Caenorhabditis elegans: one gene and its partners. The protein of the gene in region 3 purifies or fractionates together with the protein of the main gene of each other region. This does not show direct contact. Each region holds a gene or a part of one and is shown on either strand. Other genes may lie near its edges.

Region 1 (6,758 bases), on a different chromosome or scaffold from region 3:
GTTTTTCAAAAAATAATATGATAATAACAAAAATTCGGAATTCCAAAACCCAAAAGTTCAAACTTACAAAATATCAAGATTCCAAAAAAATATTTTCCATCCGCTTTTCTTAATTCTAGAATAGAATACTAAAAGAATCATTTGAAAACATTTCAAGGCGTCTCTGTTTCTCTTTTTGTCCAAATGTCCATATACTTTATTTCCCATCTTTATATCAAAAATCTTTTACTACCCAAAAGTCGATTTTCTGTTGTCCAGCCCACTTTTCAGTCTTCAAACCTCATCTTTTACTGAATGTTCAATTTTTGTGAAATAAATGTACTTATTCAAGACCACCATTGTCCATCTGTGTGATTTAATGTCCGGTCGTTCTGGATTCCCATTTTGGCTTCATTTTGTTTTTGAGAACAAAAATTAAAGCATCGTTTTGAAGAAAAAAAACCTATAGGTCTCCCAGCTAAGTGAGGCGCGGACTTCACGATCGGGTTCCCTGCCGCACTATATATTCGGATACATGCACTGTGATTGACGCTGTGAGGCCGGCGCGGGCGCCGCTGTGGCGACCTCATAGGGGACCTGGTCCCTAAAAAATTAATTTATTGATTTAGAATTTTGAATTTAAACCTGACAATACAATCGAAAAACAATCCCTACTTTATAATGAGATGCAAATTTTGTGGAGCTAAGGTTCAATTTCTTATACTTAAAACAAAACAGTTCCAAAAAATCTGTATTCCAAAATAATTAACATTTAGTGATTATAATCAATATAGAAAATAAGCAGAGAATCACCAGAAAATATGGCCAACTAAGTGACAGAACACAACTGAAAGATAGATTTTTGAAGAAAAAAGTAACACAATTATTTTTGAGAGAAAAAGAAACAATTTTAGGTTTTTTATTATTTATTATCCAGTGAAAATGTCGTGGTCGGCTTGATAGCGTTGCACTTCGTTGAAAATTAGCTCTTTCCATTCAATAAGTGTCTTATCGGCAAAATCAATTTCCTGATCGTATCGATTTTCTGATGCGGGGGCGTTTACCTCATCGTCCTGTAAGATTTGAGATGCATGATTTGATTGTTTTTGTTTAGTGCTAAAATTGTTGTACCTTAAACCACAACTTAACATATGGATGATTCAGTGCATCTTCAACTGAATACCTTTCTTCAGGATTGATTTTCAACATATTGAACAGGAGATCACGAGCCACGTGTGCTGAAAATATGATTTATTTTTCAAAATCCTGTATAGCCTGACTCACGTGTCAAATGGACCCTTGGATTTTCAGTCTCCGGCAGAAAATTGGTATCAGGAACGATTTCACTGAATGCTCGTGCCTGATGACGTGGCAACGATCGAACATACATAGCAGCTGACTGACCCAATTGACTAATGAAATGATCATCTGGTGTTCCCAAAACACTATAAATTTTAGTCCATTGATCAATTCGATCTTTTCCAGGGAAAAGTACGGTATGGTTGATCATTTCAGCAAATATACATCCGACTGACCAAATATCTACTGCAATTATGAATTGAGAGTGTTGTTTGGAAGCGGCCGACACGTTTGGGGTTTTACGCGCACTTTACATGCGGATACGTACGGCGTGAGGCTGTTTGAGGCGGCTCACCGGAGCGCAGATGGAAGTCCAGCCCAAAATTACAAAAATTTTTTTTTTTTTCGAACAAACCTTTTTCCGAATAGGGAAGACCTAATATAACTTCGGGGGCTCTGTAGTATCTTGTCACCACATAATCTGACATTCTCATCGATGTGTCCACATTCTTCTTCCGGGCCAATCCAAAGTCTAAAACTTTTAATACACATCGATCGTTGACGACAATATTCGATGGTTTTAAGTCCTGAAACTTTGAATTTTTCAGAATGTTGTCTATAGTGGTAGATACGTACACGATGAATGACTCCCGAATTGTGAAGATGCTTGATTGCGCACAAACTCTGGTAGACGAAGAATGATAATGTTTTATGGTCCAATCTAATAATTCAGAAAATTTTTTTAGAATCTAATTATGTGTTTATATTCAATATTCAATCATTGAATCATTGAACAATCATGAATAGGAGCTCAAATGTGCAAGTGTTCTAAACTTTTTTAAAAATTCTGATTTTTGGTAGTTAACTAAAATCTTGACCAAAAATTTTCAAAACACGCTGGAATATTTTTTTTATTTTTTTACGCGTGTTCTGGTAGCTAACTGTGCGTGTTTTGATGATGGTTTCGGCACATTTCCAAGTGGGTACTCAAGGTTGGATAAAAATGTATTTCCGACCTTGGGAAACGCGAAAGACGGCAAAATTGAAAGTCTAGCTTTTGCCCTTGTTTCTTTCTTTTTTTAAAAGTTTTTTTTGTTGAAAAGTGTCAGCAATAAACTTATTATTATTGTTGAATATGTTTATTAAACGTGAAATTGAGACAAAAAAGGTTGATATTTTGGAGTCGTTCTGAGTTTATTAGAGCAAAAATGAATCCGCCACTCCTTCTTTAAGATATCGTGCTTTTCCTATTGTTTTATTTTTATTCTTTTGTTCTCAAAATCAATAACAGAAAAATAATATTTTACGTCTATTAGTCTCTAACAAGTCCATCATATACAGTTTAAATTACGTCTAGTATACTAGATATTACTATAAAAATTGGTATTACTGAAAAAAAATCATAAAAATCAGCCACCATGTCTCTTACCTTAATCGATGTATAACCTCGTGCAAATTGTGTGTCATTAATTCCATAACTAGATATACTTCTCGGAACGTTGAAAGTGAAGTGTCCGGTGTAAACGCGTTTAGTAGACGGATTATCTGAAATTTGGAGCATTTTTTCTAGATTCCAACTGAATCTTACATTTGGGTGTTTGATAGTCGTTAGCAGTATAAACTCTCGATATGCTCGCTTTGCGCTCATTGTCATCACAAATGGTTGTTGCATCTTCTTGATTGCCACACGTTGCGTTGTTACTAGGTCATCGGCCATTCTAAATGTAATCAATAAAAATTATGGCTGTTCACTTAACTTAGAAATTCTGTTTGAAGTCATTTGCGCGATAATTTAATTTCAGTCACTTTCATTCTTCTAGAAGATCTTCTTGATTATTGATTTTTTCAAGCTTTTTCAATCTTAGAGGTGGAGCAGCGGGCAATGACGAATAACAATGATCTCGAGACCTCTACCTGTTTTAAAAGTTTTTTGATAGGGCGGTCCGTTTTTTTTCGGGAAGTCATCATTGTGTCAGTGTTTGAAATTACGCAAAACCGAAGAAAAGTTAAAGTGTAAAAATATACAATTGAAAGGCAGTGAGACATTCAAAGATGGAGTACGACCAGAGAAAGGATTCTCTGAAACCAGCCATATGTTTCTAAAATGACTAAAATTCATAGTTCTTTCAAAAAATTTATTTTATCTTTTGGTATTTGAACATTATTGGGGCTATAATTTGCAGTAAAGTGTGAAATGTTTGAAAAAGTAAAAATTATTCGAAAATTTGGCAATCTATCAAATCTTTGATTAACATCTTTGAAGTGTTAATATTTGTTTGTCTATTGAAATTTTTTGTTTACTGCGTTAAAAAATTCGCCCTATTATTTTTCCTTCAATAAAATATTAATGTAATTAGTAAAAACTCACACGACAGTTCCTTGGGCGCCGGCATTCAGAAAACTAAGGTTTACATAACGAGTTGGAATAGTGAAAGTGCTGTCCGCGCCGGCTATCGGGTCCTGAAAATGAATTTGAATGGAGGTAAAGTATCTAGTAACAAACCCTAATTGTAACTTGATGAAATCTAGACGCATCATACTCGTTATGTACCGGCAGATCCACTTCCATCTTATTGTGCCTAAAAAGTTATTAGTTTCAGGGAGAAATACTTAAAATTCAAAAATTAAATATAAACGTTAGTCATTAAATTTCAGCTTTTCTTAAATTTTTAAAAGTATAATTTCAATTTCCAAATAAACGTTTGAAAAAATCTATAAAAATTTCATAATTCTTATCACTTGCAAAAATGTTTCTGATTTTCCTTTCCAACCGGAACTGATAAAAATGCCTTAAAATTGTTGAGTTTCATCAAAACTGAGTCATTTCAACCCACGTAGAAATCAATAAATCTTAAAAACGGAGATTCTAACAGTTTGGAAAATTATTTTCTTTCCAAATATTGACTTTCCATTTCTGGAGTGAAAAAAAATGAGGGAGGGGATATATGTACATATTGTTAGTGAAATACAGTTTTCATTTTTTGAAGTGCAAACTAAACCTGACAATGTTTAAAAAATAGACTAAAAATAGAAAGATATGTAGTTTAATAAATAATCTTTGCAGCTAATCTTTAAATGTTTAATCATAACTTTGGATTTGTAATAAAGAAGTCATTTTTTAACATTTAATGAAATTTCAGCGTTTTTGTTTGGGTTTTTATGTTTTTTAATCGACTCATAAACTCATATTTCATATTTGCATGACGCAAAAAATGTTCACACTTCAAAAATTTGACTTCAGTTGTGAATGATCTTACACTTTTTGCGCTTGGTTTTGAAAGGATGTTCGTATTTAGGAAACAAAAGTCAACACTAATTTCAATGGAAAATTTAAATATTTTAGGTATCAAGTTGACTGGAATGTAACATCCAATAGTGTGTTTCTTTTTTTTAAACCTTTATTATAGAAAAAATACGATCGTACAAAAATAAACAACGACGCAATGACACTCCACCGTTTCTAAACCCCGCCCAAGATTTCATTTGCACTGAAATGTGTCGGCCGCAGTGCAAATGAAATCGTGGGCGGGTCTCAGAAACAGCGGAGTGTCGTTGCGCCGTTGTTTATTTTTGGGCGATCGTATTTTTTCTATAATACTCTAATTACTTTTTTAGTGGGATCACCACCAGGCAGTGTACCTGACTCCCAGATCCGCAGTGCATAGCGCTTGAAGAACGGATCGTCCTTTAATCCTTTAATCCTTTTCTCACGAACTCTACAATAAATACACGGGTTACTCGAATGGTTTATTCTAGCAATAGTTCGAGTTCGGGGTAATTTTGAGGTATTTGCTGTTAATTATTAGTGAAATACATAATACTGCATCGAGATAATTGAAGTCTATTATTCTCAACAAGTAAAATTCAAACTAAAATTGTATTAAAAAAGCAGGGGAAATTTTTTATTTTTACTTAGATTCGAAAACTTGAAGAAAAAAGGCAGTATACCCAGCCTGCCAATTTTTACTTTTACACTTTAAAGACACTTTAGATTTTGTTTTTTTTAAATCATAAATAACCTTTTTAAAAAGTTATAATTAAAAATTAAATAGTACAGGAATGATCTATATACATATATATATATATAAGTTGACAATGCGAAAGAGAGAAATAGTGTAGGTATTAAAAGTTACGTCACTGAGTGAATGTTTGTGTGCGGAAGAGAAGCGATAGGCTGAAGCCAAATAGGAGATGCAGAGAAATAGAGATTTCATCCTTCAGAGAGAGACACACCTAGGATTGAAAATGTGTAGAGAAGTAGAGAATCAGACAGAAAAGAGACACCACTCTGTTTTGGAGAATAGAGTTGCCGTAGAACAAATCGACCGCCTATAATAAAAGCTTTGAAAGTAAATTCTATAAGAAATAAGTTTAATATGTACGTTTTAAGTTTTAAATATCTTTTTCTCAATTATTAACATTTATGACAACTCAAAGCGCTACCCAATTAACTTGGGCCATGAAATCTCGTAGGTGCCTAATCTCCCAAAGTCGTGGGTCCACATTCTGTGTGGTCTTTCCTGTGGGGTTTTTTGGTTGTTCTTTACAATTGTTAAATAATACTTGATTTTGTCTGTTTGTTTCTCTAATTCTTTTCAATCTCTGCATTATTCCTTAGATTTCCCATTTGTTAGTCATCGGAAGTGATAACTCGATGCTAAAATGAAACACAGAGATAGTGAGTTGGATAATTTTAAATTATAAGGTGAAGTAGTGGTTTTTTTGCCATAAATGACAGAATACAGTCCCAATTTACCAAATATAACTGTTAAAAAATCAAAAAATAATAATAAATTTTTTATGATTTTTTCAAAAAGGCCGATTTAAATTTGAATTCTCGCACAAATTAATGGCGTCATTCTCGACATTTTGTGTTTTACGGCCAAACTAATTGGTTTTTCTTTATTCTTACAATTAGTTTTATAATTTGAAACATAATTTTTCAATTTTTCAAACATTTTTCAAACTTGATAATTGCGAAGAAACTTACCGAAACTCTGAAATTGGCTTAATTATTCAAAATTAATCATACATTTTCTTTTAGTCTGAAAAATTGACAGACTGTATTTCAAATTATAAAACAAAGGAAAAATGAAGAAAAACCTATTAATATAGGCTGAAAACGCAAAAGTTTCGAAAATGACGTCACTCATTTGCGCGGGAGTTCAAATTTAATTCAGTCCTTTTTTTTAAATTTTTGTAAAATTAAGAAAAAAATCATTAAAAAATTAGAAAAATTTCATACATTTTCTACATTTTTTAACAGTTATATTTAGTATATTGGGTCTCTATTCTGTCATTTATGGCAAAAAACTTACAGACGCTACTCCACCTTTAAATTTGGAACTTCTATGTATATTCTTTGAACACTTACCCAATAACCACAATCATCTCGTTTTCTTCCGAGAATTGTGAAATATTTTCGTAACAAAAATAATAGAATACTGTTTTTATGAAATTTACTTCTAGAATCCAATTTT
Region 2 (6,394 bases), on a different chromosome or scaffold from region 3:
TGAAATCTTTGAAGATACCGAAAGAGGCTAACAACTATAAAGCGCGCCAACAAATTCCGACTCAGACATAATTCCTTCAAATAGATATTTTTGAACGTTTTTTGAAAGTTGATTCTGAATTTTTAGAACTGGACCAGGTTACTTTTATCTTGAAAACATGCCATGTTTTTGGTGGAATAGCAAAATCTGGTAGTTTACTCTTTTAAGCAAAAAAATGCCCCAAAAAGTTAAAGCTTCGCAACGGGATGTTTTGAAATTTTGTCAAATGTTTTTTTTTCGGAATTTTAGCTTTTTATTCATTCCGCAATAGGTTTTTCGGTAATTAAACACGTTTGTTTTTTGTTCAGTTGTTGTGTTCTTTGAATAAATTTTCAGAAAAATCCTTCGAAACTAACGAAACTGAAAAGGGAGTGCTAGTACTAAAACATTTTGAACTACGCCATTTTAACATCTAATTTTATAGCGGGCAACATCAAGAAGTTTACTGTCTCTTGGATAGTAGGACTTTAACACTTGAGAAAATCAAATCAGTTTTCGAAAAACTGTTTTAAAGATCGTACGCGCGGAACTGTTAACATTTGAGGAATCATTGATACGATTGTGAACGGGAACAAATTTAAATTACAATCAGATGAATTTGAAGGTTCAGTTATTGCAGACAGAAGTATAAATAAAAGGACAAACGTTCCGAAAATGTATGTAGAAATATGAATAAATAATCGGCGAATTATGCAATTCAAAATGTAAAACAACCAAGATTTAACTCAGTTGTCAGGAACATCAACTTTTTACTGCAAAAGAAAAATAAGAGGTTCACTAATGTAGTAAAACGTGAAAAAGAGTTACTAAAATCACAGTATGCAATTTGAACTTTTGTTGGAAGCATTTCTGTGTGTCAATTCATTGCATTGCTCGGTAAATATACTGATTCTCAGAAGTAACAACACAGAAAAACAAAGAGATGGGAAAATAAAGAGGTTTGTAGAAAATGAGATAGGAATGTTAACAACGATATTTTACAAATAACACAACAATTATTTCGAATTATTCCTAGTTCGATTTAATTCTGAAGAAAGTCTTCACTTTTTTCCAAGTTGACATGCTAGCTACTTGCTGTTTCTTTACATTTTGTCTCTTCAACTCTTCACATTGTTGCCGTTTCAGTTCTTTCTGCTCTTTTTGTTCTTCACGTTGCTTCTGCTTCAATTCTTTCTCATATTTTGATTTTTCTGCGGCAACCTTGTACCGATACTCTCTGATTTGCATTAACCAGCAAACACTGTCAAGAGTGTTAACAGGCTCCATGTCTGGTTCTTCAATTTCTAATCGCGATTTTCCATCGTCAATCCAGTCAGCTGAATTGATTGGAAGCCCAGGCTTGAATCGGACAATTGCTTGGTAAATGTACATTGGTACTGTGCTAAAATTAGAAACTTCTATAAGCATACGATCTTTTTTTAGAAGGGCTCACTCTGCATAAATAGCATAAACGATGAAATATTTTGCTGTGTTTTTGATGGAATTGAGAGCTTCAACTGAACGTGATATCTGTGAAAAAAAAAATATTGTGTTTGTTAAAAATGTTGAACTCACTGCGTCAATGGTGTGATTGGCCATCTCGTAATCATCATGGTATAATGGCTGAAATAAAAATTATGTATATTTGGATTACGCGAATTGATTTTGCAACTGGTTAATAAAAATAAATTATTGGCCGGAAAAGTAATGTCTTTTAGTCTTGTGTTCTTACAACTTTACGAATTATTCAGTGAACCCAATAACAATTCTGAGAACATTATCGAAAAAGGTTCCGCGGTCAGAAATTTGCTTAAATATGCTATGTACATTAATAACATTATTACTATACTGTATTTCACCATGATCGTCACAATAAATCAGAGGCCACAGTCTTATTAGCAAATTTAATCAAATGCATTTGTAACCCATCGATTTGAAACAATGCGGCACAATTTCTCAACCAACATTAGAAACTTGAAATTCCTATTGGAAAAATCTAAAATTAGTTTAGAAGTTGAGGCGAACTGTCGACAAATGCAGTTGTATTAAATGTTTGTCCAATTTACCGGTTGTCCGAGCACTTCCTCTGATCTGCGTCTCAAATCAATAACTTGAAGACCGTGAGGCATGAGGTGCTGATTGATGATTTGAATGAATTCCATTGAACATTCTGGTAGTTCAACAATATCGCGCAAGTATCCTTTGAATGGGACACCGATAACGGGTTGATGACTGTGAACAACTGGAATCATGTTGATTCTTAGAGTGTTACTGATTTTTTTTCTTGCGACCTCCGCTATACCAAAACGTTTCGTCTCTCCGGGAAGATACTGAATTTCATGAAATAAGTTAATTAAACTGTTTAAAAATAAAACTTACTCCTCCGTTTCCAATCAAATAAGCTTCTTCCAGTGTCAGGGATTCCTAGAAAAAAAAAATTCAAAACTTATTTAAATTCACTAATTGCTTACATGTTCTCTTCGATAGGCATACCATCGACGATTTCGTTCATGCGAAATGATATTGAACATCTGCATAAAAATTGAATCATCCGAATTCTCCAATGATACGCTATTAATATCTGTTTTGACATTGAGCCATTGGTTCAAACGAAAGCTTCCTTGTGTTTTCATGATTTCTTGCTCATTTGTTTGATGGATCATTATAAACGGTTTTTTAGTAGGCTGAAATTTAATTGAAATGTAGGTCATTTGCAAAGAGCTAGTTACATGAACTGGTGTCACTTTGAATTCCTCACTTGATGCCGGGTTATCCGACGTCTTCACTATACATGCTTCTTGAGTTGCTTCGTGAATAACTTTGCTCAGGATAACAGTTTCTTCATCATCAATTCCCGATGTACTAACCAAAGGTGGTAGTGGACCGGAGAAAACTTTCCATGTTTGTTTTTGCCATCTCTCAGCCTTGTCAGCGCCTGGATGTTTAGGAGGTTCTGGTTCAAGGTTGGTTTCTTTCTTTTCTTTGCGAAAAAACTGAACACAACCGTGTTTAGGTCCCTTACGCTTCCAGACTACATTTTTATCAGCTGTCTTATTGTCCTTGTCATCCCCAAGCATGCTCTGTAATTTAACTAATTTGCAATAAAACTTCTGCGCAGATGAGAAAAGTACTATCTTTGTGTTAGTTTGGGTCTATAATATTTCTAACGACAAAGTATGGTTAAGTCGGCATTCAGGTAAGTATACATTTTCTGTGCGAAACTAGAGAAAATACAAATGATGGATTAATTCATGCGATCTGTGAAATTTTTTAATTGTTCTTTAAATTAAATGAAGAGGCTAACTATTGCATTTAAAACAGACAGAATTTTATTTTGATTTTACACTTATTCATATTGTTTTATCACAGAATAGTGAATAGCGCATTCTCAAAGTAAGCTACACCACATTCAATATCCACCTGAAATCAATTTGCACGTTTCCCAACTTTTTCTTCACTAGTAATGCATTGATGTACACAATTACTAACTCAATGTAATAACTCTTGCATGAACCCACTAGCTGGTTGAAATTACTACTTGCAAAGATTACTACATGCGATATTCTTTTCACTCGTTTTCTAAGAAACCTATAATCCAAAGACCAACTTGCCAGACTCATATTTCTAGTAAGTATTAAGATCTCGTGTTCCCATAAAACGACACTTTAAGTCTAGACGTCTGCTGTTTGCACACCAGTGTTCTTTACTTTTTCTATGTTTTACTCACGACTACACTTGTCCAGGTGTTGTTTTAAAAGCCGACTAAAAAAGTTTAGAAAGTTTACAGCCTGGACTAGATTTGAAAAAAATGTTTTGAACTACCGTATTTCTTCTATTAGTATGGCTTTAGCAATACTATTTTTCGAAGGTATTCCCGCTTGCAATACTGTTAGGGAGTATAATAGGAAGAGCAATACTGTTTTTCAGAACATTTTTATTAGTTTTTTATTTGGAAAAACTCCAATTTTTTTTTGATAATTTAGAACATTCAATTGTAATTGAAACAGAAAGGCTTAATAACTTCAATCTTATAGAAATTTTGTCAAAAATTTTTGCAAAATAGGCAAAAATGTTGTTAAAATCTTAAAATTAGAAAGGAGGATTTGTACCAGAAATAAAAGTAGATGCGAGACTATTAGGGAGTGCAACACTAATAGGTAGTTCAATATTAATTTTTGGAGGGTTTTCAAAGTGTAATACTAAAAAGAAGTGCAAGTCTAAAAGGAAGGCCATACTATAGAAGAAATACGGTATTAGAAAAACATATTGAACATTAGTTAAGCTGCAAAATAATTGCACTTACTTCGATTTCATAATCTTCCAATGTTTTGGGTGGTGCTGGATTTGTTTGTGAAGGACGATCATCCCAATCGAATTTCAGCTTATCAACAAATTGGACGTGCTTCAGTCCTCGGCCTTCTGATTGAGCCTTCAACGAGTCGGTGTCATGTTCCGATTCATCAGGAAGATTTGAAATAACTTCTCTGCGTTTTTGAGAAGCATCTAAGAAACAAGGCTTGTTTTCTTGTCCCTCTGGTTTCGAACTTTTAGAACCCATCTGAATACATGATATTGTAAGATTGTTTGTCAAAATAGTTGAGAAAAAGACTGCAAAGAGAAACACTGAGGAAAGAGTTTGTCGTGAAAAATAACATCACGTAGTACAGCTCCGCCCATTTTTTTGAGTGGAACAAAAATCTGGAAAAATTTAAAGAAATGATGCGGGACATGTTTTTAAAATGATATTCCAAAAATACATAATATTTAACATTAGCATAGATAGGACATTTTGAATAATTTTGAACACGTCTGTGTCCTACAATATTCAATCAAAAAATATGATCATAGTTAAAATTAAAACTCTGACTTTTTTGAGACTTTTTTTGGTCAACTTTCAAGATTATGATAGGTGAGTAATTGTCACTTTCAACTGCAAATAAAAAAATCTTTAAAAATTGTCTATTTTTTGTTATGTTATTCGGTCACTAATTAGACTGATTATAAACATTTCTCCTTCATATTGCTTCAAGCAATACACTATAAGTGGAATTACAAAATAACATGTTTATCAATTGTTATACACTAAAAAATGCATACGCAAAATAGAAGCTTAAAATAATTGTATTCTTTACTCAAATATAAATATAAATGGGTTATCTCTTGATCCCACTTTTATGACTGTTTTGTTGCTAGTTTTAAGGAAAACCGCTAAACTGTTGCAATATTAAACTCGACCAAAAGAAAAAGTTTCAAGACGTCATAAACGATTGTCAAGAACAGTTATAGAAACGTTATCATATAAATAAAAGTAGTAAACACTTTGTAAACTATTTTATCAGTTGAAAATGCTTGTTGCCGTTTGTCTGAACTAGATTAATGGTCATTCTCCTCACTAATTTTAAAATCAAGGTAACAAGAGGTTTAAATATGAAACTAACAATTATAGCTAAACTAGTAAGCCAAAGGAAAAAATAACCAAGTAGTCTAACATATTGAGAATAAAAATCAAAAGATCAAAACTTTCAAGGAAAAGTGTAATGTGCTCAGCAATGTCATGTCATCCTTAAGCTAAATTGAAAATAGAACAAAACATTAGATGACGGTGAATGAGAATTTCCAGTTCACCGAACACGTACTGAAATATTTATCTTTCATGTGTCTATAGAAACATCTGTCAAGTTGTAACTAGTTTATAGTCTCTGACCTAGCTGTATTAGCACAATAGAGCACTGAAAACATTTGAAAACCCAGAGTCGGGCTTTCTTTTCAAATATGATCATATTTTCAAGAGAAATTGGTCTAGACAAGTGGCAAGTTTGCGGCAAAGCCGTCTATAACCAACAAGAAATTAGAAAAACACACAATCCCGAAAATTATATTTTAGACAATATTAAAACACATTTTGATACAAAAAATTGGTACGTTTGTAATGTATACGTTAATACAGAAACAGGTACAAAATTGAGGAATGAGAAACATCACGGAGAAAGTGAAACGAAGTGTAAAAACAAAAAAATTGAAGTTATAGTTAGAGCAAGTTTTTTGGTGTATGAGGTCTAATTTCAACAAAAACTAATGAAAGTATGTTAACATTACATATATTTTATCTAGAACTTTTTAATTGAAATTCAAAACGAAAAAAAAAGGAATAACCCTTAGGCGACTTGGCTAAACTTCATTGCAACATTGCTCAATGCAACTCGGATTTATATCTAGGTTGAACATCCTAAAATGTATTTGTTTGTTCTAAAAATAACAATTGACCTTCTCTGAGATCTAATTCTACCGGAAAAGTCAACAAAAAATTAATTGTTTGCGGCTTACAAGGAACTAAATTGTGATATCCAATTACATATTGCAAAAAAAAACTTCATGT
Region 3 (4,870 bases):
GATTCCAAGTTCACGGCATACTGTAGACATGTGACACCCGTAGTGAACTGGAAGTCGCTGCTCCCAGAGCCGTTTTCCCAAGTGATGAATTGCTTTTTCATAGAGGTCTGGGTATTGTTCACGGATTGAAGTGAGGAACAGCTGAGGGATGACCGATCCACGTGCTACCGCTGTTTTGTAGGTCTAAAAATATTTGTTTGAGAATAAATATTCGAAATCAATCTAACGTTTTTCCAATCTACAGGTGGCACGACACGCTCACAACCAATAAGTTTCTTGCCACGCTCGTCGATTTTTTGTAGAATTCCCATTTCTGAGAGTGTTTCTTCGCTTTCTGCTTGCTCTGGAACTTCTGAAATAACTTTCCCGCGATTATTTGGATTTCTATATATTTTCAAACTACTTACCTATTTTCGTTTTCCAAAGTCTCGAATTGTGTACTTGTCGACGTTGGTTCCAGATTTGAGCATTATGAAGAATTCCAATTTTAAAATCACAAACTGGCTCAAAATCTATACGCTCGAATAGAGAATTGTGTGATGTAAGAGCCTGAAAATTATATTTGATTTTCTTTCCATCTTTTTTTATTTTCGGGAATAATAAAACATTCAAAAAGGGCTGAGATCTATCTATTTTTCACATGCGACCCATTTCTATTTCACGTGAAGCACATGATTCTGAAGGGCAATGGAAATGAAAACCCGGAAAAACAAAATCTTTCAGTTTAAATTGTATCAAAACAAGTTTTTCTAGATTACAAATGTACCTGAATAGTGATCCATGAATTGGGACAGACCACATCGAAATAACATTTCACACGTGGCAATGGAGCCATTTTGAAGTTTGGCTGAAATTAAATTTATGTCGAGAAATTAAAAAAAATCAGAGCGTCATCATGAGAAAATAGGAAAGGTTTAGACTGTAAAATCAGGTTTTCATGGCGGGAATGACATTAAAATGGTGATAAGGTGATTATTTTATCAAAAGAATTTTTTGAATGATTGCACCTAAAATCGAGTGCTTTTTCTTTAATTTGATTATCAAAAGAAAATACCCAAGAAATGGAAAATGAAAATTTAAGAGATGAAAGGAAAAAGCGACCCGGAAAAACATCAAGCTGGGAAGAAATCTCAACTAGTTAGACCAAAGCTTCGAACTCTGCGAGCATGTATTTTTTTTCCTCACTTTCTCCTTTTCTTCTCTATTTCTCTAGATCTTTATTACTGCGGGGGCAAAAAGAGTAAGAGATAGAAAAGAATGACGCAAAAAATACACGGATTTAATATTTGCTTTGCTTTTTTATTCAGAGAGGAAAGGTCAATTGGGGGTTTCCCCTCGTTTTATGAATGAAAACCGCACATAAATATAATTATTTCCACAGTTTTAAACGGCAGAAACGGTTCGTGTTATAATTTGTGAGATAATTGATTTTGCATTACGAAATTAGAAGAAAAGGCGGAAATAAATAAATTAGTGTCGCAATTTTTTTCTCAAAAAGGAAATAATGCAATTACGCTCCACCGGACAGTAAAATTCTCAGTTTATTTGAAAAACAAAAATTTAATTTTTTCCCTTTTTTTCAATTGAAATCTCAAATTTCTGAACTCAAAATGAAATTTTCAGACTTTACCAGAATATTGTGACATCGACCGATGGGTGACTCATCTAAAAAAGTGTTAGTCAAGATTTATTTTATTGTTATAGCAAGAAAATTGAGAAACATACATGAATTGCAATTCTTTGTTTTCAGAAAAGACAGTTTCGACACAATATCTGAACCAGACAGCTTTGATGAGCCGAAAGGCGTACCGATATCAATGGAACCGGTTTTTTCAACAGCGGCTGGTATCCGAATTGATGTGAAGCAGGAATCGATTGATAAATCAAAGAAGATGTTGAATGTAAGCTTTGGAATTAAAAGGAAATAATGGAACATATTCTGAAATTAACTTCGACAACACATTTATTCTTCTAATATAAAAAATTTCAAATTCAGAGTGATCTCAAGAGCAAATCCTCGTCTAAAGGCGGATTTTCTTCCCCTCTCGTGCGCAAAAACAATGGGTCGAGCGCTTTCGTTTCACCGTTTCGAAGAGAAGGGTAAGTTTCAAAGGTGCTATCTAGCTCGAAGTTTTTCTTTTCAGAACGAGCTCAACAACTACAAAACGGCCGGCTAGCGGCGGTTTCGAAGATTTCGAAGCTCCACCAGCAAAAAAATCAACCAGCAGTTCTTCTAAAAAAAGTAAAAAACATTCGAAAAAAGAAAAGAAGAAGGAGTTTAAAGGTTAGTTAAGCTCTAGAATTGGCTCTCCTTTTTGAAAACTGTTCTTTATTCCGTAATTCTCGTAATCCGGAGTCTTTTTTCAGAAATCCACGCCGATGTTTTGCGTGTTTCTCGAATCTACGAAAAGGATAAATTCCGAATTATTCTTCAAGAATCCAGCTCAACTCCTCTAATCCTGGCCACTTGTAGCTACAATCGTGGCTCTGATATTAAATTTGGCGACAGAATTCATGTCGACGCGGAAGTCTGTAAAAAATGTAATGCTCAATCGATTGTAGCTATTGATTTAATTTTTCGTAAACTTTCAGCAAGCTCAGGCGATGTTACAGAAATCTATATTGATAGAGTTCTGAAAAATAAGGAAAATGGTGCGAAATCCGGTATCCGACGCCATTCAATTGCCAAGAAGCCGTTTTGCATCAAACCCAGATGTGAGCCATTTCGAGTTTTCACCTAAAAAAATTATTATTTCAGTTATCCACGAATTGTCAGACACGAAAATCAAAAAAACAGTTGTCCAAGTTAACTTACTCGATTTAAATTTGGATTTTTATGCAGGGTACATACTGATTCCTTGATAATTAATATAATAATATTGGTTTCAGATGTTCGAAATGCAAACACTCTCTCCCAGAAGCAGCGAATCAATGCGAGTTTTGTAAGGATTCCCAAGGAAAATCTGAATTGTCGATGTATTCTAGAGTATGTTCTTTATATTTATATTGCCTATTTCCTAATATAGAACATTTTTAATGTTTTGGATAAATAGCCTATTTTCAGCTAAAATCTCAAATTTTTCCGACTTGTCAGTGGTGCGGCGGTCGGAACTCACTTCTGCGAGTTGTGACATTGTCAAGTTGACAAAGTTTGAGATTTTAGCTGAATTTAGATAATTTTTTGAATTTTAGTTTTTGGGAAGTATCGTTACAAAAAAACTTCAGGTGCGAGTTATGGACTTCTCCGGTCAAATGTTTATCAATGTGACTACAAAAAATATGAAGAAATTACTCGATTTGTTAGGATATGAAGGATTTGACAATTGGTTCCGATTCAAAGACCCCCAGGAACGGTGAGATTTTTGCGGCGTTTTAACTTTCAATTTATAATTTTTTAAATTCCGTTGCATTTTTTCAGACAAAACTATGTGTTCCGCCCTGTTATGGTTGAAATCGAAAAATCGAATGATGAATGGGAATGCACTGACGTGGCAGAAGTCGACTGGAAAGATTTTGGCTCTTACTTGAAACATAAAGTATAATTTATTGATACCGAAAAATTACAGAGAACATTTTTTGTTTCACATATCATAATTTTAGAAGTCGGCCAGAATTTCAGACATTTTCTTCATTTTCTTATATCTCAATTGCGTTAAATTTTTTTCTCGAATCTGATAAATCAAAAAAATTCGCCAAAAATCCCTAAATCACCCAAAAATTTCACATTTTTGAAAAGGTTGCAATTTACAAAAAAAAACTTTGACTTGAAATTTGAGAAATCTAAGAATTTTGTAGTGTTTCATTATGATTATCGGTCACGTTAGAGTGATAAGTGTGCTAATTTTACAATTTTAATTAAGTCTCAAAATTATATCAGCTAAAATTTAATAAAATTCCATAATTTTTCAGGAAGACAAGAAGAAACGCCGTTCGAAAAAGAAGCATCCATAATATTCCATTCATGTGAATATTCATTTAATCATGTTTCATTTATTTTATCATTTTTTTGTTGTGTTTATTCGTTTTAACGTAGATGGTTCAAATGCTTTAATTTATTCTCAAAGAATATCCCCGTTCTAATTTTATATGTTCCCCTTCTGTTGTTTCCATGTTAAAGAATTATTATGAAACGATGAAATCTTCATCAGAAATTCGAAAATTTAGAAAAATAGAAACCCGAAACAAGAAAATATACAAGTACAAATACAAGTAGGCACACGTCATTTTGAAGTTGTGGTCTTATAAAGACAATTTCTAAAACCCAAAATGTTTGGGAAATCGAGAGATAAGGGGGGATCAATTGGAAAATAAATTCTATGAATTGATTAAAGTTGGAAGGAAGGTGGAACAGTCAGAAGATTGTTATTATTGCAATTTTGTTCGGAGATTTTCAGTTTTTCAGCCAATTCTTTGTCTTCAAGAGCTGCCAGAGCAATTGTAAATTCGCGTTTTGTATTTTCCTCCTGCACATTATACAATGTCAATGAGCCCGAGCCACGGCGATTTTTGCATCGAAGTCCACGTCGAAGGCATTCGGATTCAAATTGAGATCCTGGAATATATTATAGTTTATTGATTATGTATTAAAGCTGTGATTTTTGCTTCAAAATACGGTAACCGGCCTCGACACGACAATTTTGGTTGAATGCGACAGGTGTGTGCGCCTTTAAAGGAGTACTGTAATTTCAAATCGTTGTGACGATTCCGCAGAAATGAAAGCTTGACGATACAGTAGTCTTTATAGGCGCGCACCTTTTTGAAGATTCCAAAAATTTGCCGTGCCGAGACCTGGTACCGTATTCTTGGCAAAAAATCGGACAATTTCGCGTCTGGAATACGTTCTGACAAAAGTCGACCTGACTTTTCAAAA
Region 4 (5,246 bases), on a different chromosome or scaffold from region 3:
CTACTCAACTCATCAGTCCAAGTACTTCCACCAACTCTCTAACACATCTCAATGACAAAACTGAAGAGGACGTGGATCACAATGCTGAATATCATGATTACACTGATCACCATTATGATGAAGATCATGAATACCATGACTCGGATAATACAACTCATCCAACAATTAGTGTGGTATCTATTGAAACAAGATTATCAGAATCAGATTCGGACGCTGATTCCAAAGAAAAACAATCGGAAGATAATGCACTCGTAGAAGTGACAACTCCAGATCAACTTTTAAACTTGACCCCACCAAATATTGTTAATTCAAATGAATCAGAAGATTTGGAAGAAAGCGGAGAAGAGATTCAAATTGAAACAACAACACTCAAGCGAAAAGTATTTTCGGAAGATAGTATGGAGAATACACCACCAAACTTCTTTTATTCATCAAATCGTTATGACAGTACAACACGGTCAAATTATGTCGCTGATAATTTAGATTTAGAGGTATATTTGGAATGTTACTGTATTATTATTTCTTACATTATTCATGAACTGAAGGACGAGTAACGGTTTTGGGTTTTTTTTCTTAAATAACTAATGATACACCAAAAATCTACTTTCATGATGAGACTTCTTGATTCAAATATGTCTTATTCCAAAAAAAAAGATTTAATAAAACCAAAATTAGAAATTAAAGCTAAACTTTGCCCTTTTCCCAAAAAAAAAATTGGAGAACTTTAAACATTGTTGAGATTATTACACTTTAAACATTGTTGAGAAAAACTTTAAACATTGTTGAGATTTTTTGTGAGTAGTCGCATTCGAGTTCGAAGTTTTAGAGCCATTGTGTGATTATTTCAGCAAAAACTACCGTTACTTCTTCTTCAAATGGTGCTTTTGAATATAACCTATTCTAAACTTGCGAAACTCAATTATTCAATGCCGATATTATGTAAACTTAATTTCAATGTTCAGGATAGCGAAGAACCGCTGGAAATTGATACATCGACGTTGTTTGGTGTTGAGACAACTTCCAATGAAATTATCGAGTTGTCCACATCTACAATATCTTATAAAACGACTGAAACTCCAAAGAAAACAACAAGTGGAAAACCGAAACCATGGCTTCATGGCGGAGTTATTGTAAAACCAATTTTAAATTTTGATCAGTTGGATGTAGATCAAGGTGTGTCTTACATTAAAGTCAGTTACAAATCTCTCATTATTCCAGACGAACAACGAGAACGAGAAAATCGTCGTCAAGAATTCAAAAATTCATCTTCCACACTTTCAACATCTGAGACATCTCCAACAAAAGGCGATGATCTTCTCAGTGGAGACTCGGGTGGCCCATCGACAAATGAAACATTGATTGTAATTGGGCTCATTGCACTTGTCACTTGTCTCATTTTCCTCGTACTTCTCCTTCTTCTCGCATACTTCTGTTCTACACGAACTGATAGTTATAATGTGCACAAAGACGAAGGAAGTCCGCCTGTATGAGAAAATGAGCAGCAGCTTCTCTGAAGATATGTAAAGAAAAAGTCATGAGAAATTATTATCATGATTCTGTTACGTGTATGGTTTTTTGTAGCATTCGAATTTCACTCAATAAATTCTAATAATTTTGTTTGAACAAACTTGATAGTTCTCAAGAACCCTATAGATATTTTACGAGGATGTGTCTGTCTCCCAACTTCTCGTCCGAAAAATATATCCAAAACAACTCGTAGTGAAGTTCGTTCACGTTTATACTTTGCACATTGTACTGTTATTTTTTCTGAAAATTTTTTAGAACGGTCAGGGAAGTTAAAAAAGAAATTTTGACGTGAAAAACTGGAGAAATCCTCTTGTATCCAATTTTAGTTTCCCCAATCAATTTATTTCCTTTTCTCAATATTCGCGTTAAATTAAATGGAAACTTTGGAGCGTTCTGAAGAAACTGTGTAAGTTTGGTTTTTGAAGTTTATCAGAACTCAGGTCTCAATTTTTCCAGGATCTTGATAGATGGATTGGCAATTCCAAAAGTGAAGCCATATGTGCCGATGTTGAAAGATCGAAACGGTTCTGAGTATTTGTCAAATGATCAAATGTTTCGCGGAAAGTTTATGGTGAAGGTAAGGGATTTTCAAAACAATAAGCAATGCTACAAAAATGGCTACTGAAAAAAACCACGTCTGCGCCTTTCCCTTTCCCATGATTTCTTGATGCTAAAAATGAAAACGTTCTCATAAGCGGTTCGAGCTTTCAAAAACTTCTTTGATCAATGTGAAATTTTGCGCAGAATCACTTCCAAATATTTATAATTTTTATTAAATTAAAAAATTTAGGGGCTTATCGGACGTGGAGGTTTCGGCCAAATCTACTACGGCTCAGACGCTACATTCCCGGAAGATGTTGTCATCAAAATTGAGCCAGTGGTCCTGAAAGGAAGGCCAAGACGACGAATGATCTTGGAGCAAAAAGTTCTCTACCGTCTGCAGGGAAGACCTCATGTTCCCATTATGTGCGCTTCGGGACACACGGAGCAATTGAATTTTATTGGTAGGTTTCTTTGAGGCTTTATAGCTTTCAATGTTGCAGAATATAAAGTGTCACTGAAAGTCAGCGACCGGTACATCTTCGCGGGATTTGAAGTTATCAAAAAGTTTTTCTAACATGTTGCAAAACATAACATTTATAATATTTTGCAACGCGCAGTCGACTTTTGCCAGTTCACAGCAAAAGCGGTGCGTACTAAAAACAGTCAAGTTTTTAGTAATGCAACTTCTTGGTCCAAACATTGGTGATCTGAAGAAAAGAAGCCCAGTAAAACGTCTGAGCCAAACCACAGTCGCACGAATCATGATCCAAGGAATCGCTGCACTTCGGGATGTCCATTCTCTTGGTTACATTCACCGAGACGTGAAACCTGCAAATATGTGCTTTGGAGTTACTCAAAGTGTAAGAATATTTGATATTTATGTATGTAATACCCGTTTTCCAAAAATAAATTCTCCATTTATGTACATATTTCTATTTAAACTGCTAATATAATTGAAACGTGACATTATGTTGCATTTTTATGCTTAGTATACCACCACTTCTAAGCATAACGTTGTATAAAAACGGTAGTTTTTAACGGTAGTTTTTTTAATGCCTAGGTAACGGTAGTTTTTTTAATGCCTAAAAGATTGTTTGGGTTACGGCTATTTGAGCAGGTTAGAGCCAGGTTTTGCCAATTTTCAGACTCGTCATGTGCTCAAGCTAGTCGACTATGGGATGGTTCGAAGATTCAAGAACGTGGATGGAACACGTCGTAAACAGAGATACAAACCTGGTTTTAGGTAACTTTAAATTGTTCCCAGAAAGTTCAGAAAATTGTTCAGAGGGACACTGCGCTACTCGTCTGTGCGTGTCCACGATGGAAAAGAACAGACCCCAGTTGATGACTTTGTGTCAATGGCCTACTCTGGGGCTGAGCTTCTCCTTGTCAACCTTCCCTGGAAACTGGTGAGCACTGATGACATCCGACAGACTAAAGTGGACTTTGTACGTGATTTTAAAAAGTTGTACCTTTAAAATGTTTGTTTAGAATACTCCAAACTCTCCATACTTGCTGCTCACCGGACCCTATTTCTCCGTGTTCTGTGGAGCGATTTTCAATTTGCGATCGGAGGATGAGCCCGATCATTCTTCATTGCAAAATTTGCTTTGTGTAAGTTAAATTCTGAACTGATCGTGATTGTTCCTTACCACGTAGAAAACGTAATTTGAATTTTAAAAAAACTAAAATCCCTGCCACCAACAGAGCTATCAAAAAGTTTTCAACCAGTATATAAATTTCACAAAAATCCCTGTTAGCTGAACTCTTTCTAGTATCTCGCACTAGATATTTCGAAGTTGGTACTGTTTTCCTACAATATTTGTCTAAAATATCAATAGAGAGCTCACAACTGCAAAGTATTTAAAATTTTAAGATCTACGTTTTGTTAGTGAAAACTTTGTTGATAGATATAATAGCAACTGAGATATCATAGTTTGACGTTGTGCTCTTTTCTCCAAATTAAATGAAACCTGTGCGGGCGCTGCAAATTTTGGCTGCTTGAAAATTGATTTATAACAATTTAATTTTCCAGGACATGACCAGAGGAAAATCGTTGCGTGAGGCGTATGACTGGGATGAAAACTATCGTGATGCACTTGGAAGTACGAAAGTTTTATTTTTTTCTTTTCCCTATTGTGTAGATAGTTAGAGAGTGTCAGACATCCGGGACCCAACGGGGCGGGGCGCGCGGAAGAGACGATTTGTGTCGATTTACGAAATGATGACAACGAGGAAAATTTCGTAAATCGGCACAAATCGTCTCTTCCGCGCCCCGTCCCATTGGGTCCCGGATGTCTGGCACTCTCTAACTATCTACACTATCTGTACCGGTAATACCGGAGCTTTAAACATATTTTCAGGCTCGAATACTGACAGCTCGTAATTGAACTTTTGTGATTTTGTATGTTCCTTCCTTTGAACTCCATTCTTTCCACTAGACAGTTGTCTCTCCACTTGAGTATTACAAATAAATACAATCAAATGATCTTGTGACTTACCTAGAACTACCGGAAAAGTAGGGAATGCTCTTTAAGCCGTTGGCTAGAAGATTCTTTTAGAACATTCTTGACAATTGCGATAATTGGGACAATGAAGCCATGTAGGCCCTCCTTTCCGCCGCGTCCTGGAATTTTGACTTTGCTTGAGAGAGAAAAGGCCGTGTTGAAACATATTTGGAAAAATTGCTCCGCTCTTTTGCTGCGCACATTATATAGGGTGTCCATCAGGATGTGGACACAAGATGCATCAGCAAAAGCGGGTACTTTTCAGTAAATTGTTTGCCTCTGCGGATCGGTTTTGACTATATTTCGAAAAATGTTATCTAAGCTTACAGTAGTTTTGCGCAGATAGTCAAAAATTGGACTCAAATTGGTAAAAACATTAAAAAAAACAATTATTCAAACTAGCTATCGAACACCTGAAACATTTTCTTCAGAAATTTCAAGATTGTTTTAAAAAGTTTCGCGCGATTCAACAGCCATTTTGATTAATTTTTAAAAGATTTTCTATCAAAATTTATTTCAATATAGAGTTTGAGAGTTTAAAGAAAGTCAAAATAACTTGGAGATGTGTTCGATCCAAAAATTATAGAACAGATTACATAAAGGCACCGTTACCACGAATTGATAATCAGGGCGCGATAGGAACAAGTACATGTAGACGTGGAGAACGCC

Evidence for each region.
Region 1: the proteins of brc-2 (region 3) and kgb-1 fractionate together in Caenorhabditis elegans (co-fractionation; one large-scale study listed by BioGRID). This does not show direct contact.
Region 2: the proteins of brc-2 (region 3) and F45E1.5 fractionate together in Caenorhabditis elegans (co-fractionation; one large-scale study listed by BioGRID). This does not show direct contact.
Region 4: the proteins of brc-2 (region 3) and ZC581.2 fractionate together in Caenorhabditis elegans (co-fractionation; one large-scale study listed by BioGRID). This does not show direct contact.

The regions. Positions count from the first base shown.
Region 1 is NC_003282.8:405,040-411,797, forward strand, and holds kgb-1 (GLH-binding kinase 1), read right to left. Parts: upstream 4,995-6,758; 5' UTR 4,918-4,994; intron 4,834-4,917; exon of another isoform or gene 4,723-4,833; intron 3,858-4,722; 5' UTR 3,848-3,857; coding exon 3,782-3,847; intron 3,739-3,781; coding exon 3,647-3,738; intron 2,997-3,646; coding exon 2,867-2,996; intron 2,824-2,866; coding exon 2,708-2,823; intron 2,000-2,707; coding exon 1,915-1,999; intron 1,866-1,914; coding exon 1,694-1,865; intron 1,525-1,693; coding exon 1,264-1,524; intron 1,218-1,263; coding exon 1,111-1,217; intron 1,053-1,110; coding exon 909-1,052; 3' UTR 582-908; downstream 1-581. UniProt on the Caenorhabditis elegans protein: Mitogen-activated protein kinase which is an essential component of the JNK pathway composed of mlk-1, mek-1 and kgb-1.
Region 2 is NC_003284.9:7,974,882-7,981,275, reverse strand, and holds F45E1.5 (Rhodanese domain-containing protein), read right to left. Parts: upstream 4,577-6,394; coding exon 4,322-4,576; intron 3,099-4,321; coding exon 2,748-3,098; intron 2,703-2,747; coding exon 2,490-2,702; intron 2,443-2,489; coding exon 2,398-2,442; intron 2,349-2,397; coding exon 2,085-2,348; intron 1,642-2,084; coding exon 1,594-1,641; intron 1,549-1,593; coding exon 1,472-1,548; intron 1,421-1,471; coding exon 1,051-1,420; 3' UTR 541-1,050; downstream 1-540.
Region 3 is NC_003281.10:6,899,860-6,904,729, reverse strand, and holds brc-2 (DNA repair protein brc-2), read left to right. Parts: upstream 1-1,623; 5' UTR 1,624-1,652; coding exon 1,653-1,675; intron 1,676-1,750; coding exon 1,751-1,901; intron 1,902-1,996; coding exon 1,997-2,100; intron 2,101-2,144; coding exon 2,145-2,284; intron 2,285-2,367; coding exon 2,368-2,541; intron 2,542-2,592; coding exon 2,593-2,715; intron 2,716-2,758; coding exon 2,759-2,843; intron 2,844-2,889; coding exon 2,890-2,986; intron 2,987-3,225; coding exon 3,226-3,353; intron 3,354-3,418; coding exon 3,419-3,536; intron 3,537-3,909; coding exon 3,910-3,951; 3' UTR 3,952-4,162; downstream 4,163-4,870. Other genes in the region: T07E3.3 (DSBA-like thioredoxin domain-containing protein), read right to left, coding at 1-183, 228-352, 408-549, 767-835; T07E3.4 (F-box domain-containing protein), read right to left, coding at 4,326-4,552. UniProt on the Caenorhabditis elegans protein: Required for the homologous recombination repair of DNA double strand breaks, thereby playing a role in chromosome integrity. Acts by targeting rad-51 to sites of DNA damage and stabilizing rad-51-DNA filaments by blocking ATP hydrolysis catalyzed by rad-51.
Region 4 is NC_003279.8:6,653,814-6,659,059, forward strand, and holds ZC581.2 (non-specific serine/threonine protein kinase), read left to right. Parts: upstream 1-1,794; 5' UTR 1,795-1,901; coding exon 1,902-1,933; intron 1,934-1,983; coding exon 1,984-2,104; intron 2,105-2,317; coding exon 2,318-2,531; intron 2,532-2,745; coding exon 2,746-2,930; intron 2,931-3,215; coding exon 3,216-3,313; intron 3,314-3,355; coding exon 3,356-3,518; intron 3,519-3,561; coding exon 3,562-3,684; intron 3,685-4,105; coding exon 4,106-4,175; intron 4,176-4,433; coding exon 4,434-4,456; 3' UTR 4,457-4,558; downstream 4,559-5,246. Other genes in the region: ZC581.3 (CPG4 domain-containing protein), read left to right, coding at 1-491, 963-1,173, 1,219-1,490.